Sus scrofa: one gene and its partners. The protein of the gene in region 3 purifies or fractionates together with the protein of the main gene of each other region. This does not show direct contact. Links are inferred from orthologs where the notes say so. Each region holds a gene or a part of one and is shown on either strand. Other genes may lie near its edges.

Evidence for each region. Proteins that work in one complex are often made in the same cells at the same time.
Region 1: the proteins of WRAP53 (region 3) and CCT6A purify together in Homo sapiens (co-immunoprecipitation; 3 studies listed by BioGRID and IntAct, with this or other methods). This does not show direct contact. The link is inferred for Sus scrofa from reciprocal best matches to the Homo sapiens genes WRAP53 and CCT6A.
Region 2: the proteins of WRAP53 (region 3) and MDC1 purify together in Homo sapiens (affinity purification with western blotting, with the first as the bait; 3 studies listed by BioGRID). This does not show direct contact. The link is inferred for Sus scrofa from reciprocal best matches to the Homo sapiens genes WRAP53 and MDC1.

The regions. Positions count from the first base shown.
Region 1 is NC_010445.4:16,848,444-16,852,665, reverse strand, and holds part of CCT6A (T-complex protein 1 subunit zeta), read left to right. Parts: intron 1-1,094; coding exon 1,095-1,205; intron 1,206-1,486; coding exon 1,487-1,646; intron 1,647-1,724; coding exon 1,725-1,807; intron 1,808-3,869; coding exon 3,870-3,966; intron 3,967-4,222. UniProt on the Homo sapiens protein: Component of the chaperonin-containing T-complex (TRiC), a molecular chaperone complex that assists the folding of actin, tubulin and other proteins upon ATP hydrolysis.
Region 2 is NC_010449.5:23,239,186-23,243,407, reverse strand, and holds part of MDC1 (mediator of DNA damage checkpoint protein 1), read left to right. Parts: coding exon 1-49; intron 50-987; exon of another isoform or gene 988-1,027; coding exon 1,028-1,408; intron 1,409-1,487; coding exon 1,488-1,554; intron 1,555-2,506; coding exon 2,507-3,963; intron 3,964-4,222. UniProt on the Homo sapiens protein: Histone reader protein required for checkpoint-mediated cell cycle arrest in response to DNA damage within both the S phase and G2/M phases of the cell cycle.
Region 3 is NC_010454.4:52,953,148-52,958,058, forward strand, and holds the start of WRAP53 (telomerase Cajal body protein 1), read left to right. Parts: upstream 1-1,526; 5' UTR 1,527-1,862; coding exon 1,863-2,266; intron 2,267-2,413; coding exon 2,414-2,512; intron 2,513-2,618; coding exon 2,619-2,730; intron 2,731-4,911. UniProt on the Homo sapiens protein: RNA chaperone that plays a key role in telomere maintenance and RNA localization to Cajal bodies. Specifically recognizes and binds the Cajal body box (CAB box) present in both small Cajal body RNAs (scaRNAs) and telomerase RNA template component (TERC).

The sequences.
Region 1 (4,222 bases), on a different chromosome or scaffold from region 3:
AGGAGCTTATACAATACGTGTTTTTGCCTGTTTGTGTTTGTTTTCTTGCCTAGTTTGTTTGTTTGTTTGTTTGATTTTTTTGCCTTTTTAGGGCCTCACCGGTGGCACATGGAGGTTCTCAGGCTAGGGGTCACATTAGAGCTATAGCTGCCAGCCTACACCACAGCTACAGCAACACCAGATCCGAGCATCGCCTGCAACTTACTGGACAGCTCATGGCAATGCTGGATCCTTAACCCAGTGAGCAATGCCAGGGATCGAACCTGTGTCCTCATGGATGCTAGTCAGATTGGTTTCTGCTGAATCAAGATGGGACCTCCAAAGATGAATATTTAACTTAGTATTTCTTCTTGAAATGAAGTTCATGGTGTGGTGTATTTATAGTCAGAATGATTCTGGGGAAAGTCAGCTGCATCAGCCATTTGGCATTTGTTGAACGTTTGTGCAAAGCATATGAGAGACTTGGAATTTTTAAATTTATTTTAAAGGCCTACTTTGAAGACTTTTTTTTTTTTTTTTTTTTTTTTTTTTTGGTCTTTTTGTCTTTTCTAGGGCCTCACCTGTGGCGTATGGAGGTTCCCAGGCTAGGGATCCCATCAGAGCTATAGCTGCCGGCCTACGCCAGAGCCACAGCAATGCCAGATCTGAGCTGCGTCTTCAACCTGCACCACAGCTCACAGCAGTGCCGGATCCTTAACCCACTGAGTGAGGCCAGGGATCAAACCTGCAACCTTGTGGTTCCTAGTCAGATTCATTAATCACTGAGCCATGATGGGAACCCTGAAGACTTTAAGGGAGGTGATCACAGTTTAGGAGCCTACCAATTATGACAATTTCTCTGTAGAATTTTCTGTCCAAGACAGGGTTTTTACTTTCATTTGAATGGGTTATTTTTGTTGTGTCTTCTGGAATATTGCTTTTCACAGTGAACCTCCCTGGGTATTACCCAAAAGTCCTATTCAGAGAGCTTAAGAGATAAAGCTTATTGTGTAAAAATTTTCCAATACAGTCTCAGTTCACTGTTTTAATTTTGCTAATGTATGTTTCCCCCATGTGGAAATTAGTAAGAATATAATTTGTATGTGTTTGAACAGCTTGATCAGGGGTCTTGTTTTGGACCATGGGGCACGGCATCCGGACATGAAAAAGAGAGTAGAAGATGCATACATCCTCACGTGCAATGTGTCATTGGAATATGAAAAAACGTGAGTTTATAGCTCCTTAAAGATGAAAGGAGGGTGGAGGAGCTTGGTATATGGGGCAAGTCACTTTTTTTGGGAGACTCGGTTTCCCCACTGTAGGACAGTAATGCCTCAGTCAAAAAAGTATGGGAAATAGCCTCTGAAAACATACGGGGGGTGGGGGGGTGTGGAGCTCAGTGACTATTTGCTAAAGCTCAGGACTGACTCAGTTTCTAAGGCTGCTGGCTTATTGTCTACTCAAAAAATAAATACTTTCCTCTGATTTTTGTAATTTCTTTTTTTAGAGAAGTGAATTCTGGCTTTTTTTATAAGAGTGCAGAAGAGAGAGAGAAACTAGTAAGAGCTGAAAGAAAATTCATTGAAGATAGAGTTAAGAAAATAGTAGAGTTGAAGAAGAAAGTATGTGGTGATTCAGATAAAGGATTTGTTGTTATTAATCAAAAGGTGAGAAATTTTGCTTTATAAATTAGTCTGCTTTTATTTTAAGGTGAATTATATTGAAGCTTACTTTTATTCTTATAGGGAATTGACCCCTTTTCCTTAGATGCTCTTGCAAAAGAAGGCATAGTAGCTCTACGTAGAGCTAAGAGGAGAAACATGGAAAGGTACGGACAGCAGGTTATCTGTGACCTGAATTTCACTTATTTTGCAAGTTAACTTGGATTATTGCTTTCCCCCCTTCATATTTTTGTGGGGTTTTTTGTTTGGTTTGGTTTGGTTTTTGTTTTGACACTCCTGTAGCATGTGGAAGTTCCCAGATGAGGGATCAAACCTGAGCCACTCCAGTGACGACACAGGATCCTTAGCCCACTGTGCCACAGGAGAACTCCTGTTCTTGTGGTTTTCTGATTTTTTTTTTTATTGCAATGAAATGTACGTAATATAAAATATGTCATTTTACCTGTGGGGTTTTTTGTGTTGTTGTTGTTTTTTGCTTTTTAGTGCCACACCTGTGGCATATAGAAGTTCCCAGGCCTAGGGGTCGAATCGGAGCTACAGCTGCCGGCCTACACCACAGCCACAGCCATGCCAGATCTGAGCCGCGTCTTCGACCTACACCACAGTTTATGGCAATGCCAGATCCTTAACCCGCTGATCAGGGCCAGGGTTCAAACCCGCAACTTCATGATCCCTACTCAGATTCGTTTCCGCTGTGTCATGACAGGAACTCCTTACCTGTGTTTTAAAATGTGCAATTCTTTGTCATTAAATTACATTCAGGAGTTACCTGGTGTTGCAGCAGGTTAAGAATCCAGCGTTGGTGTTCCTGTTGTGGCTTAGCAGTAGTCAACCCAACTAGTATCCATGAGGATGCACATTCGATCTCAGGCCCTGCTCAGTGGGTTAAGGATCTGGTGTTGCTGTGAGCTGTGATGTAGGTTACAGATGGAGCTTGGATCCAGTGTGGCTGTGGCACAGGCTGGCAGGTGGAGCTGCAGCTCTGATTCAACCCCCAGCCTGGGAACTTCCATATGCCTGAGCCACAGTTGTGGCCCTGAAAAGCAGAAGCACATTCACAGTGTTGTACAACCATTGTTCATTTCAAGAACTTTTTCCCTTGTAAGCTGAAAGTCTGTACTCAATAACTGCATACCCTCTCTAGTAAATACTATTCCATTTTCTGTCTCTCTAAATTTGGTACATGGTGTAAGGGAATCATGAGGTATTTATCCTTTTGCGTGGCTTATTTCACCTGGCATAATCTTTTCAAAATTTATGTTGTAGCCTGTATCGGGATCTCTTTATTTTGTTTATTCATTTATCTGTCAATGGACATTTATTTTGTCCTTCTACCTTTTGGCTGTTGTGAGTAGTGCTGCTATGAGTGTTGATATATACTTGTGGTTTTTTTGTTTCATTTTTTGTTTGTTTTGTTTTTTAGGGCTGCACCCTCAGCATGTGGAAGTTCCCAGGCTAGGGGTCGAATCAGAGCTACAGCTTCCAGCCTGCACCACAGCTCACAGCAACACCAGATCCCCGACCCACTAAGCAAGGCCTGGGATTGAACCCACATCCTCTTGGATACTAGTCAGATATGTTTCTGCTGAGCCATGATGGGAACTCTTCTACTCATTTTTAAATCATGACCTGTACTGTACGTAATTTCACATGTCCAGAGACAGCATCAAGGATTTTTGGAGAAGTACTTTCTCCCAAAGAGCTTACCATGGTGGATAGCTCTTGTGAACCTTTGAATTCAAAGCAGTATTTGCTCCTCTGAATTGACTTGGGTAACATGGTTAAATGGAGAGTTAGGAGAAAAGACCAGTTTTTAACTGGTTCCTGGTGAATGGAAAAGCATAAGCTAAAATATATTTTAAAATATGCTTATAGGACTTCCTATTGTGGCTCAGAGGTTTAAGAAAACCTGACTAGTGTCCATGAGGGTGTGGGTTAGATCCTTGGCCTTGCTCAGTGGCTTAAGGATCCTGTGTTGCCGCAAGCTGCAGCATGGGTCGAAAATGCGGATTGGATCCTGTGTTGCTGTGGCTGTGGTGTAGGCCTGGGAACTTCTGTATGCCACAGGTGGCCCTAAAAAAAAAAAAAAAAAAAATACGCTTTTAGTATATAATTTCGAAGAAGATTGCTTTTTAAAAGTTACTAATCTTTTTAAGTGTAACTAACAATGTCACCTCTGCATCTCCCTTAAACACTTGAATATTCCAGGCTGACTCTTGCTTGTGGTGGGGTAGCCCTAAATTCTCTTGATGACCTAAATCCTGATTGTTTGGGACATGCAGGACTTGTCTATGAATATACATTGGTAAGTGTATTTTCTTTTCAAGGGTAATACTACTTTTCTGTTCATGAATTCTTCAGTACTTAAAAATTCATTCAGGGTTTCCTTTGTGGGTCAGAGGTTAATGAACCAGACTAAGACCCATGAGGACGTGGGTTCCATCCCTGGCCTCAATCAGTGGGTTAAGGATCCGGTGTTGCCGTGAGCTGTGGTGTAGGTCACAGACGGGGCTCAGATCCTGTGTGGCTGTGGCTGTGGCGTAGGTTGGCAGCTGTAGCTC
Region 2 (4,222 bases), on a different chromosome or scaffold from region 3:
CCCGTAGGGCAACTGCGTATCTTCAGTAGTTCCTATGGACCAGAAAAAGGTATTCGGTGCTAAAGTACTGATAGTGGCCTCTTCTGTGGGGAGGGAGGTGGAGGGTTGCAAGCTTCTATATGTGTCAAGATCTGAAAAAATGTTTTACTGGGAATGGAGAAGGAAGGATTGATTGAATTGATTGCTCTCGGCAAGTGCCCTGGACTCCATGGGGGTGATTTTACTTTGGTGGGAGAAGATAAAGGGGTTTAAGTGAAAACCCGGTGAGTCTTGAAATGGATAGTGACGAGGTTTTGCACAACAGTGTGAATATACTTAATGTCACTAAACTGTACACTTAAAAATGGCTAAATGGCAAATTTTATGTATATTTTACCACAATAAAAAATAAGCCAGGAGGAGTTCCCATTGTGGTGCAGTGGTTAACGAATCCGACTAGGAACCATGAGGTTGCGGGTTCGATCCCTGCCCTTGCTCAGTGGATTAGGGTTCCGATGTTGCTGTGAGCTGTGGTGTAGGTCCAGACACCGCTTGGGTTCTGCATGGCTGTGGCCGGCAGCTGTAGTTCCGATTTGACCCCTAGCTTGGGAACCTCCATATGCCGTGGGTGCGATCCTTAAAAAAAAAAAAAAAAAGATCCTGACTGTCGTGGTTTGGCGTCACTGCAGAGAGGCGGGTTTGATCACTGGCCATGGCACATTAGGTTAAAGGATCCAGCATTGCCACACCAGTGGCATAGGTTGCAGCTGCGGCTGGAATTCAGTCCCTGGCCCGGGAACTTCCATATACCCCAGATGCGGCCATTAAAGAAAAAGGAAAAAAAAAAAAAATCAGTATAGATGGATGAGGTGTTGAGTACAAATAAGGCATTGCATGTATTCCTTATTACCTAATTATCTTAGGTATCTTTTGTTTTCCTAATGTACTTGGGGGCCTTGAGTGAGCAGTGGGGGACTTAACAGGAACGTTTTCCTAATAGCAGGTCAGGGCTCTGGCCTTGGAACCTCTCTACCTCTCTGATTCTTAGATTTCCCACTCTACCTTGGGAAGAACGTGGTGGGCCGAATGCCCGAGTGCTCTGTGGCCCTGCCTTTTTCATCCATCTCCAAACAACATGCAGTGATTGAAATCTTGGCCTGGAACAAGGCGCCTGTCCTCCGCGACTGTGGGAGCCTCAATGGCACTCAGATCCTGAGGCCTCCCAAGGTCCTGGGCCCTGGGGTGAGTCATCGTTTGAGGAACCGGGAGTTGATTCTCTTTGCTGACTTGCCCTGCCAGTACCATCGCTTGGATGTCCCCCCGCCCTTGGTCTCTCGGGGCCCTCTAACTGTAGAGGAGACACCCAGGGGACAGGGAGGAACTCAACCGCACAGGCTTCTGTTGGCTGAGGACTCAGAGGAGGAAGTAGGTAAGTCCGAGTATTGGGAGGGCAGGTGAGGAGATGGGGACGGTGGCTGTAAAATCATCAACCTTTTTACTCCTGACAGATTCTCTTTCTGAAAGGTGTGTGGTGAAAGGACCAAAGACTTCTTTGACAACAGTGATTCCAGAGAGGTGAGTGCCAGAGGCCAGACAACTGAGTCCTCAAAAGGAGGAGGAACAGGAGTTCCCACTGTGGCTCAGTGGAAACGAACCCAACTAGGATCCATGAGGATGCTGGTTCAATCCCTGGCCTCACTCACTGAGTTAAGGATCTGGCGTTGCCATAAGATGTGGTGTAGGTGGCAGATGCAGCTTGAATCCACGTGGCTGTGGCGTAGGCAGCAGCTGCAGCTCTGATTCAACTCCTAGGCTAGGAATTTCCACATGTTGCACCTGCAGCCCTTTAAAAAAAAACGGTGGAACCAAGGGCTGGAGGATCCAAGAGAGCTCATGGAGGTCAGGGCTGGGAAACTCCTCATATTCTTTCATTCAACTTAGTTTTATTTGTTTCTTTTTAGGGTTGCACCTGTGGCATATGGAGCAATGCTGGATCCAAGCCACGTCTGCAACCTATACCACAGCTCACAGAAACCCTGGATCCTTAACCTACTGATCAAGGGCGGGGATCAAAACCACATCCTCATGAATACTAGTTGGATTCTTAACCTGCTGAGCCATAGAAGGAACTTCTCACTCAACTGAATTTTTATTGATCACCTCTGATGTGCCAAGTGGAAAACGAATGGCTGGAGATAGAAAAGCAAATACTGGAATTCCCATTGTGGCTCAGCAGGTTAAGAACCTGACACAGTGTCCATGAGGATGTGGGTTCAATCCATGGTCTCTCTCAATGGGTTAAGGATCCAGCATTGCTGTGGCTATAATATAGGCTGGCAGCTCCAGCTCCAATTCAACCCTTAGTCCAGGAACTTCCATATGCTACAGGTATGACCTGAAAAAAAAGAAAAAGAAACGAAAAGCAAATACTACCTCATGTCTGCTCTCGAGGAGCTCCCAGTTGAGTGGGGTTTCCCTTCTGGAGAAATAGATTCTGTAGACTCTCTCTCTTCTCCTCCCTTCACAGTGATGAAGAGGGGCCTTCCCCCGCCCCAGATGGCCCTGGACCACCTTTTGCCTTCAACTTGAACAGTGACACGGATGAGGAAGAAAGTCAGCAACCAGGAGCAGGAGAGGCTCCCTCAGCTGCAGAGACAGAACAGCCTAAACCTGTCACAACCGAAATCCAGCTCATAAAGGACCAGTGTCCAGTGAAGGAGAAGCACAAGGACGCAAGAGTTAAGAGGGCTGCCAGCAATGGGGTGGTTCCAGTTGGGGCGATTCTGGAGAGGAGCCAGCCTGCTGGGGAGGACAGTGACACAGATGTGGATGAGGGGAGTGGGCTTCCACGGAGGCCAGCTGGAGCCCATTCAGAAAGGGCCCAGCCTTGTGGCTTCATAGACAGTGATACTGATGCGGAAGAAGAGGGGATCCCCGCCACCCCAGCAGTAGTTCCCGTGAAGAAGAGGCAGATCTTCCATGAAGTTGGGACAGAGAGCCCCCAGGCACCTGGCGTGGCACATGCACAGGAGAGCCCGGCTGGTAGTGATACAGATATAGAGGAGGGAGAGGCCCCCCGGACGGTCCCTCTGGACAGCAGCCGAGCCTCCATGATGATCGACAGCAACATGGATGACGAGGAAGAAGTCTCAGCGGCGCTCACTCTGGCACGTCTGAGAGAGAGCCAGGCTGTTCCATGGAACAGAGATGCAGGTGCAGGAGACCACAGGGCCCAACCTGTGGCCCTTCTGGATCAAAGCCAGGCCTCTGCTGGGAGAGACAGTGACACAGACATGGAAGAAGAGGGGCTCCCCCTAGAAAAGAGAGGAAGTCTCCCCAAGGGTCCTGCAGACAAGGCCCATCCAGAAAAGAGCCAGCCTCCTCTCAGGGGCAGTGACGTGAAGGTGGAGGAAGATGAGCGCTCACCTGGAGTCCACCCAGGGAGAAGCCAAGCCTCTGCCACTGTGGACGCCATCACCCAAGTGGAGGAGAAAGCCCCACCAAGGCCAGCTGTTACACTTTCAGAGAAGCATCAGGTGCCTGTGGCATGGACACCTCAAACAGATGTGGAGGCAGAAGGCGACCCAGCAAAGCTGCCTGTGGTGCATCCAGCGGAAGCCCGCCCTCCTCCAGCTGGGGGCCATGAACCAGATGTGGAAAAGAACACGTCCTTAGCAGCCTCAGCTGGGGCAGACGTCAGAAAGAGCCAGCTTCTGGCAGAAGGGGATGCTGGGACGGAGTGGGCTGTAGCCATTCTTGAACAGGACCGAGCTCTTGGGGCCGGGGCCCAGAGTGTGTCAGCCAGGGCACAGGTGGGGCAGGACCTTCCCCTTGTCTCAAGAGAGCACCTAGCAGATGTGGCGGTGGACACAGGCGCTCCAGGGGAAGCCACCCAGACACAGAGAGAGGGAACCCAGGCCCTCACAGAGAGGGAGAGAGAACTAAACGTGGACAGGACCATAGACTCTGGAGACAACCGTGACGGTCAGTACTGGCTTCCCTTCCTCCCTTGACCCCTAAAAAGTGCTTAGAGGGCACCTTCATCCGTTGAGCTGCTATAACAAAATACTCTGGACCAGGTGGCTTATAGACAACAGTGTATTTCTTTGATTTTTTTTTAATTTTTTATTTTTTTTTGCCATTTCTTGGACCACTTCTGCGGCATATGGAGGTTCCCAGGCTAGGGGTTGAATTGGAGCTACATCTGCCAGCCTACACCACAGCCACAGCAATGCAGGATCCG
Region 3 (4,911 bases):
TGGAAAGTTCACTCAAGAAAGGACAAAGGTCCGGAAGTTAGCACCTTGGACTTCCCGGAGCACTCCGGATAACCACTTCGGAATGGAGTCCAGGGTTCCACTGGGATGCCATACGCACTAAAATCTCGAGCCATAAATCCCCAAAGTTCCAAGATCCCAAAGCCTCGGACCTTGATGCTTTGTGTGTCTTATTAAGGGCTCCCCCACACCGGGTACTGAAATGGGGTGGTGGCGGTGGTGGGGAAGAACCCCTTAGGCAGGCTCAAGTTTTCCCCAAAGCCCCACTACCCGGCGCAGGTGTTCAGCTTTTTAGTTCGGTTGGTCCTAACATCCCTATCATCTACACTCAGGCCTCCCAACATTGCATTCCTCTGTTGATGCCGCTAGAAGAACTTCCATTTCCCCCCCCCCCCCAAATCACTAAATCTTTCGCTCCACCTCCATCCTCCTTTCTTCTGAGCTGAAAATACACAGACCCGAGAGCCCATGACTCATAGAGTATTCATCAGGCTCAGTTAAGAGCTTACCCGAAGCTCAGGAGAGCGTGTCACTGTCCTGGGATGCACGCTCGAGACGGGACGTCAGGTGACCCCGGAGACCAGCAGCTACCTGCGCCAAGGATGGTGGCCCTGGACTTTTGAGGAGCTCAAAACTTTTAGCGCCAGTCCGAGCACATGGGAGGGGAAAATCCCAATCCCAGCAACCATCGCGAGACTCCTGGCACAAAGTCGCCATGACAAGTAAGGGCAAGCAATTACCCTGCGGGCGGTGGCGACGGACGGAGGTGGTGAGGGTGAGGGGAGTCAGGATTCCTGCTGTGTTGGTTTTGTAGCTACTGACAGTTTGCGGTGAAGAAATTCGACAACCCAGATCTGTGAGAACAGAATTGGTGGAAACCATTTTGAAAGACTTGTCCCCGAGTCAGACATGAAGGTGAAAGAAAGACAGCCTTTGCACCTTTTGCCTGGAACTCTGCTCTCCCAGATGGCTGGATAGTTCCTCATTAGCTAAAATGTCAATTTTTAGGAAGACCTTCCTTAATGTTCCAAGCTAACGTATTCTCCTAGTTACGTTGTATCACACTGTCTTGTTTAATTTCCTTCCTAGACCCTATCACGTTTTGAAATAATTTGTTCCTTGCCTTCAATACACAGCAACCTAAGCGTTAGGAGAGCAGAGACCTTGCCTACTATCTTATTCATTCTTGTCTTTTCCAGTACAGTACTGGGTAGCAAAGAAGAGCTCAATGATAAATATTTATTGAATGAATGAAAAGAGACGGAGGTCTGAGGAGTTGAGATGCAAAACAGGTTCAAACCCCGTAAAAACAAATATAGCGCTCGCGCCCTCTGCAGGTGGGGAGGGGAGTAGGTGCTTGAAGAATGATAGCGCGAGGAGCTCAGACACATCTCCCTGACTCAGAAGCTCTCGGACTACAAGTCCCAGCAGGCACTAGGAGATTCAGGACTGGAGGGGAACGGTAACCCGTGACCTGTTACGTCCCTGCCCCGCCCCTCTTGTGGGTCGCCCGCGAAGTCTGATCCGGGATGCGGAGGTCCAATCGAATGGTGGGCCCAAATCCCGCGAGAACAGGTGGCGCGTAGCCACCGACAGGGCTAAGGATCGCCGAGCTCTCCAACATTCCTGTTCGCCCGCCTCGCCTCGCGAGGCCTGGGGGCGGGGGGCTGTTTTCTGTCCTATCCCGGGAGCAGAAAGAAGGCACTGCTGGGTTTCTCCAGTTCTGCGTCCGGATCCGTGCGAACTTACGGCGGTCTCTGCCGTTCCGCAGGCCCGGCAGCTGGTAGCCGGCGGGAAGAGGATTGCCTGGCCGCGGCCAATGTTTGCCGTGCTTCCTCTGCAGTATGAAGACCCCGGAGGCGCCAGTGTTAGCTCCGGACTGCCTTCCTTCAGACCAGGCCCCAGCTGCAGCCCGTCTCTCTCCTCAGGCTTCCTCGATGGATAAAAATACGAACCCTGAACAGACGCCACCGCCACCCGATGGGGATGATGCGCCCCGGATATCCCCGGATCCTGGAGCTGGCTCGGCCGTGTCCCAGGAGCTGGGGGAAGGGGACCCAGCTTCTCTCTCCACTCCGTTGGAAGCTGAGTTTGATACTCCTAGTGAGTTGAGCCCTCGAATCGAGGAGCAAGAACTTTCTGAAAAAGTGAGCCTTCCTGCAGAAGAAACGAACAAGCCAGAGTTGGGGCCGGGAGAAGACATGGAAGATGTGTCTGAGGAACCCGCTCCAGAGGATGAGGGATACACGTAAGTGCTGATGGCAGTTGGCTCAGGAATCTGAGGAGGTTGGAAATGTGAGATATATCTCATCCGCCAGTCCTCAGCCCCACTTCTCCAGGCCCATTTCTCCTTGGCTTTGGCGACCCAGGTTTGTCTTCCCCATCTTCCTTCCAGCACTTGGAACTACAGCTTCTCGCAGCTACCCCGGTTTCTTAGCGGTTCCTGGTCAGAGTTCAGCACCCAACCTGAGAACTTCTTGAAAGGCTGTAAGTGGTAAGTAAGGATGAGGAGGGGGCTCACCTCTGCCACAGGTCTGCTCAGCTCAAGCCCAACACTCGCAAGATACAGGTCTATCCAGGCTTCTCTCTCCTACTCCTAGGGCCCCTGATGGTTCCTGCATCCTGACCAATAGTGCTGATAACGTCCTGCGGATTTATAACCTGCCCCCAGAGCTGTACAGTGAGGGGGAGCAGCTGGAATACGCAGAAATGGTAAGGGTAGGGACTAACTGCCCCTTCCTCAGCCAGGGCACTTTTAAGTCCTGCCTGTAGATGGAGAAAGTACAGTCCACATGTTTCCTGTCACAAACAGGGTATTTTTTCACCGTGAGTTTCCACAGGTAGCATTTTCGGCCGTCAGTTCCGAAGTCATTTAAAGTGATATTTGGCTTATCTTTCATTAGGAATATATGTTTTCCATAAAGGAGTAGTGGATTTCTCTCCGTAGTTTTTAATTGACTTTCAGATATTTATTGAATGACCACTAATATGCCACCTACTGTGTTTGGTGTTGGGGTGAAGTGATGAACGAGACAGATGAAGAACTGGTTTGCTTTCTTGTGTGGGAAACATGTTACCCAATAAGCAGTCAAGTTCATTATTGAGTTTAACAAATACCATGAAGGGGTATTTGTTAAATACCGCAATGGGAATGAATCCAGCTAGGAACCATGAGGTTGCAGGTTCAATCCCTGGCCTTGCTCAGTGGGTGAGGGATCTGGCATTGCCGAGAGCTGTGATGTAGGTCACAGATGCGGCTCGGATACTGCATGGCTGTGGCTGTGGTTATGGCCGGCAGCTGTAGCTCCGATTCGACCCCTAGCCTGGGAACCTGCATAGGCCACAGGTGCGGGCTTTAAAAAAAAAAAATATATATATATATATATATACCGTGAAGGAAGTAAACAGAATGAGGAGAGATTAACCAGAGGATACCACTTTAAATAAAGTGGCTGGGGAGGAGTTCTCTGAAAAGGAAACATTTGAGCTAAGACCTGAAGGATGACAAGATCGGCATGTGAAGAGGTATAGAAAGAGTGCTCCACAAAGAGGCAGAGATGTGGGAATTCCCGTCGTGGCGCAGTGGTTAACAAATCCGACTAGGAACCATGAGGTTGCGGGTTCGATCCCTGGCCTTGCTCAGTGGGTTAAGGATTTGGCGTTGCGGTGAGCTGTGGTGTAGGTTGCAGATGCGGCTTGGATCCCGCATTGCTATGGCTGTGGCGTGGGCTGGCAGCTACAGCTCTGATTCGACCCCTAGCCTGGGAACCTCCATATGCCGAGGGAGCGGCCCTAGAAAAGACAAAAAAAAAAAAAAAGAAGGGGGCAGAGATGCTACAACAACCCAGAGAACCCAGAGCTGGGAAAGAACTTCATGTGTTCAAGGAACAGAAAGAAGGCCACCATGCCTGATGCCAGATCTTGTGGGTGGGGCCTTCGGAGTGCCTCTGGGAAGCCATGGGAGAGTTTTAAAAGAGAAGAGTGTTGGGAGTTCCCATTGTGGCTCAGTGGGTTAAGAACCAGACTAGGATCCATGAGGAGGTGGGTGCCATCCCTGGCTTTGCTCAGTGGGTTAAAGGATCCGGCGTTGCCATGAGCTGCACGCATAATTCGAAAATGTGGCTCAGATCTGGCGTTGCTGTGGCTGTGGTGTAGGCGAGCAGCTGTGGCTCCAATGTGAGCCCTAGCCTGGGAACTTCCATATGCCACAGGTGTGGCCATAAAAAGAAAAATAAAAAATAAAAGAGTGAAATGATAGTTGAAGTTTATTTACTCATTTATTTTGGCTGCACATGAAAGTTCCCAAGCCCAGGATTGAACCCGTGCCACTGCAGTAGCAATGCCAGATCCTTAACCACCAGGCCACCAGGGAATTCTGATGGACTGTGAGTGGTCAAGAGTGGAGACTCTGTTAAGACGCAGTTTGTCATAGTCCAGGCGAGAAACGATGCTGGCTTGGGCTGGGGTGGCATCAGGAGAGAGAGAGATGGGTGGAGTTGAAGTATATTTTGTGGGACTGCGAAGCCAGTGGGGTGGATGGAGATACAGTTCACTTGGGAAGTGAAGAGCTCTTGGGATGGAAGTCAAGGGTTTTTAGGTCGCGGCAATGTAAATCTAAGGGGAGACTTTGAGAAGGGTGCTCGGGATGTAGTTTGGGAGTGGGAGAGCATCTTGTGGCTTGAGAGTGGATTCAGTCTTGAGAGAGAGCATAGATGGAGAAGGAGAAGGCTCAAGCAGAGCCTGGAATGCTCCGGCGTATGGAGGAGGGTGCAGGAGAAATTACGAAAGTGGAGGCACAAGTCGCATTTTTTTTTTGTTTTTTGCTGTGGCTGTGTGGCAAATGAAAGTTCCTGGGCCAGCAGTTGAATCCACGCCATAACAGCACCCCAAGTG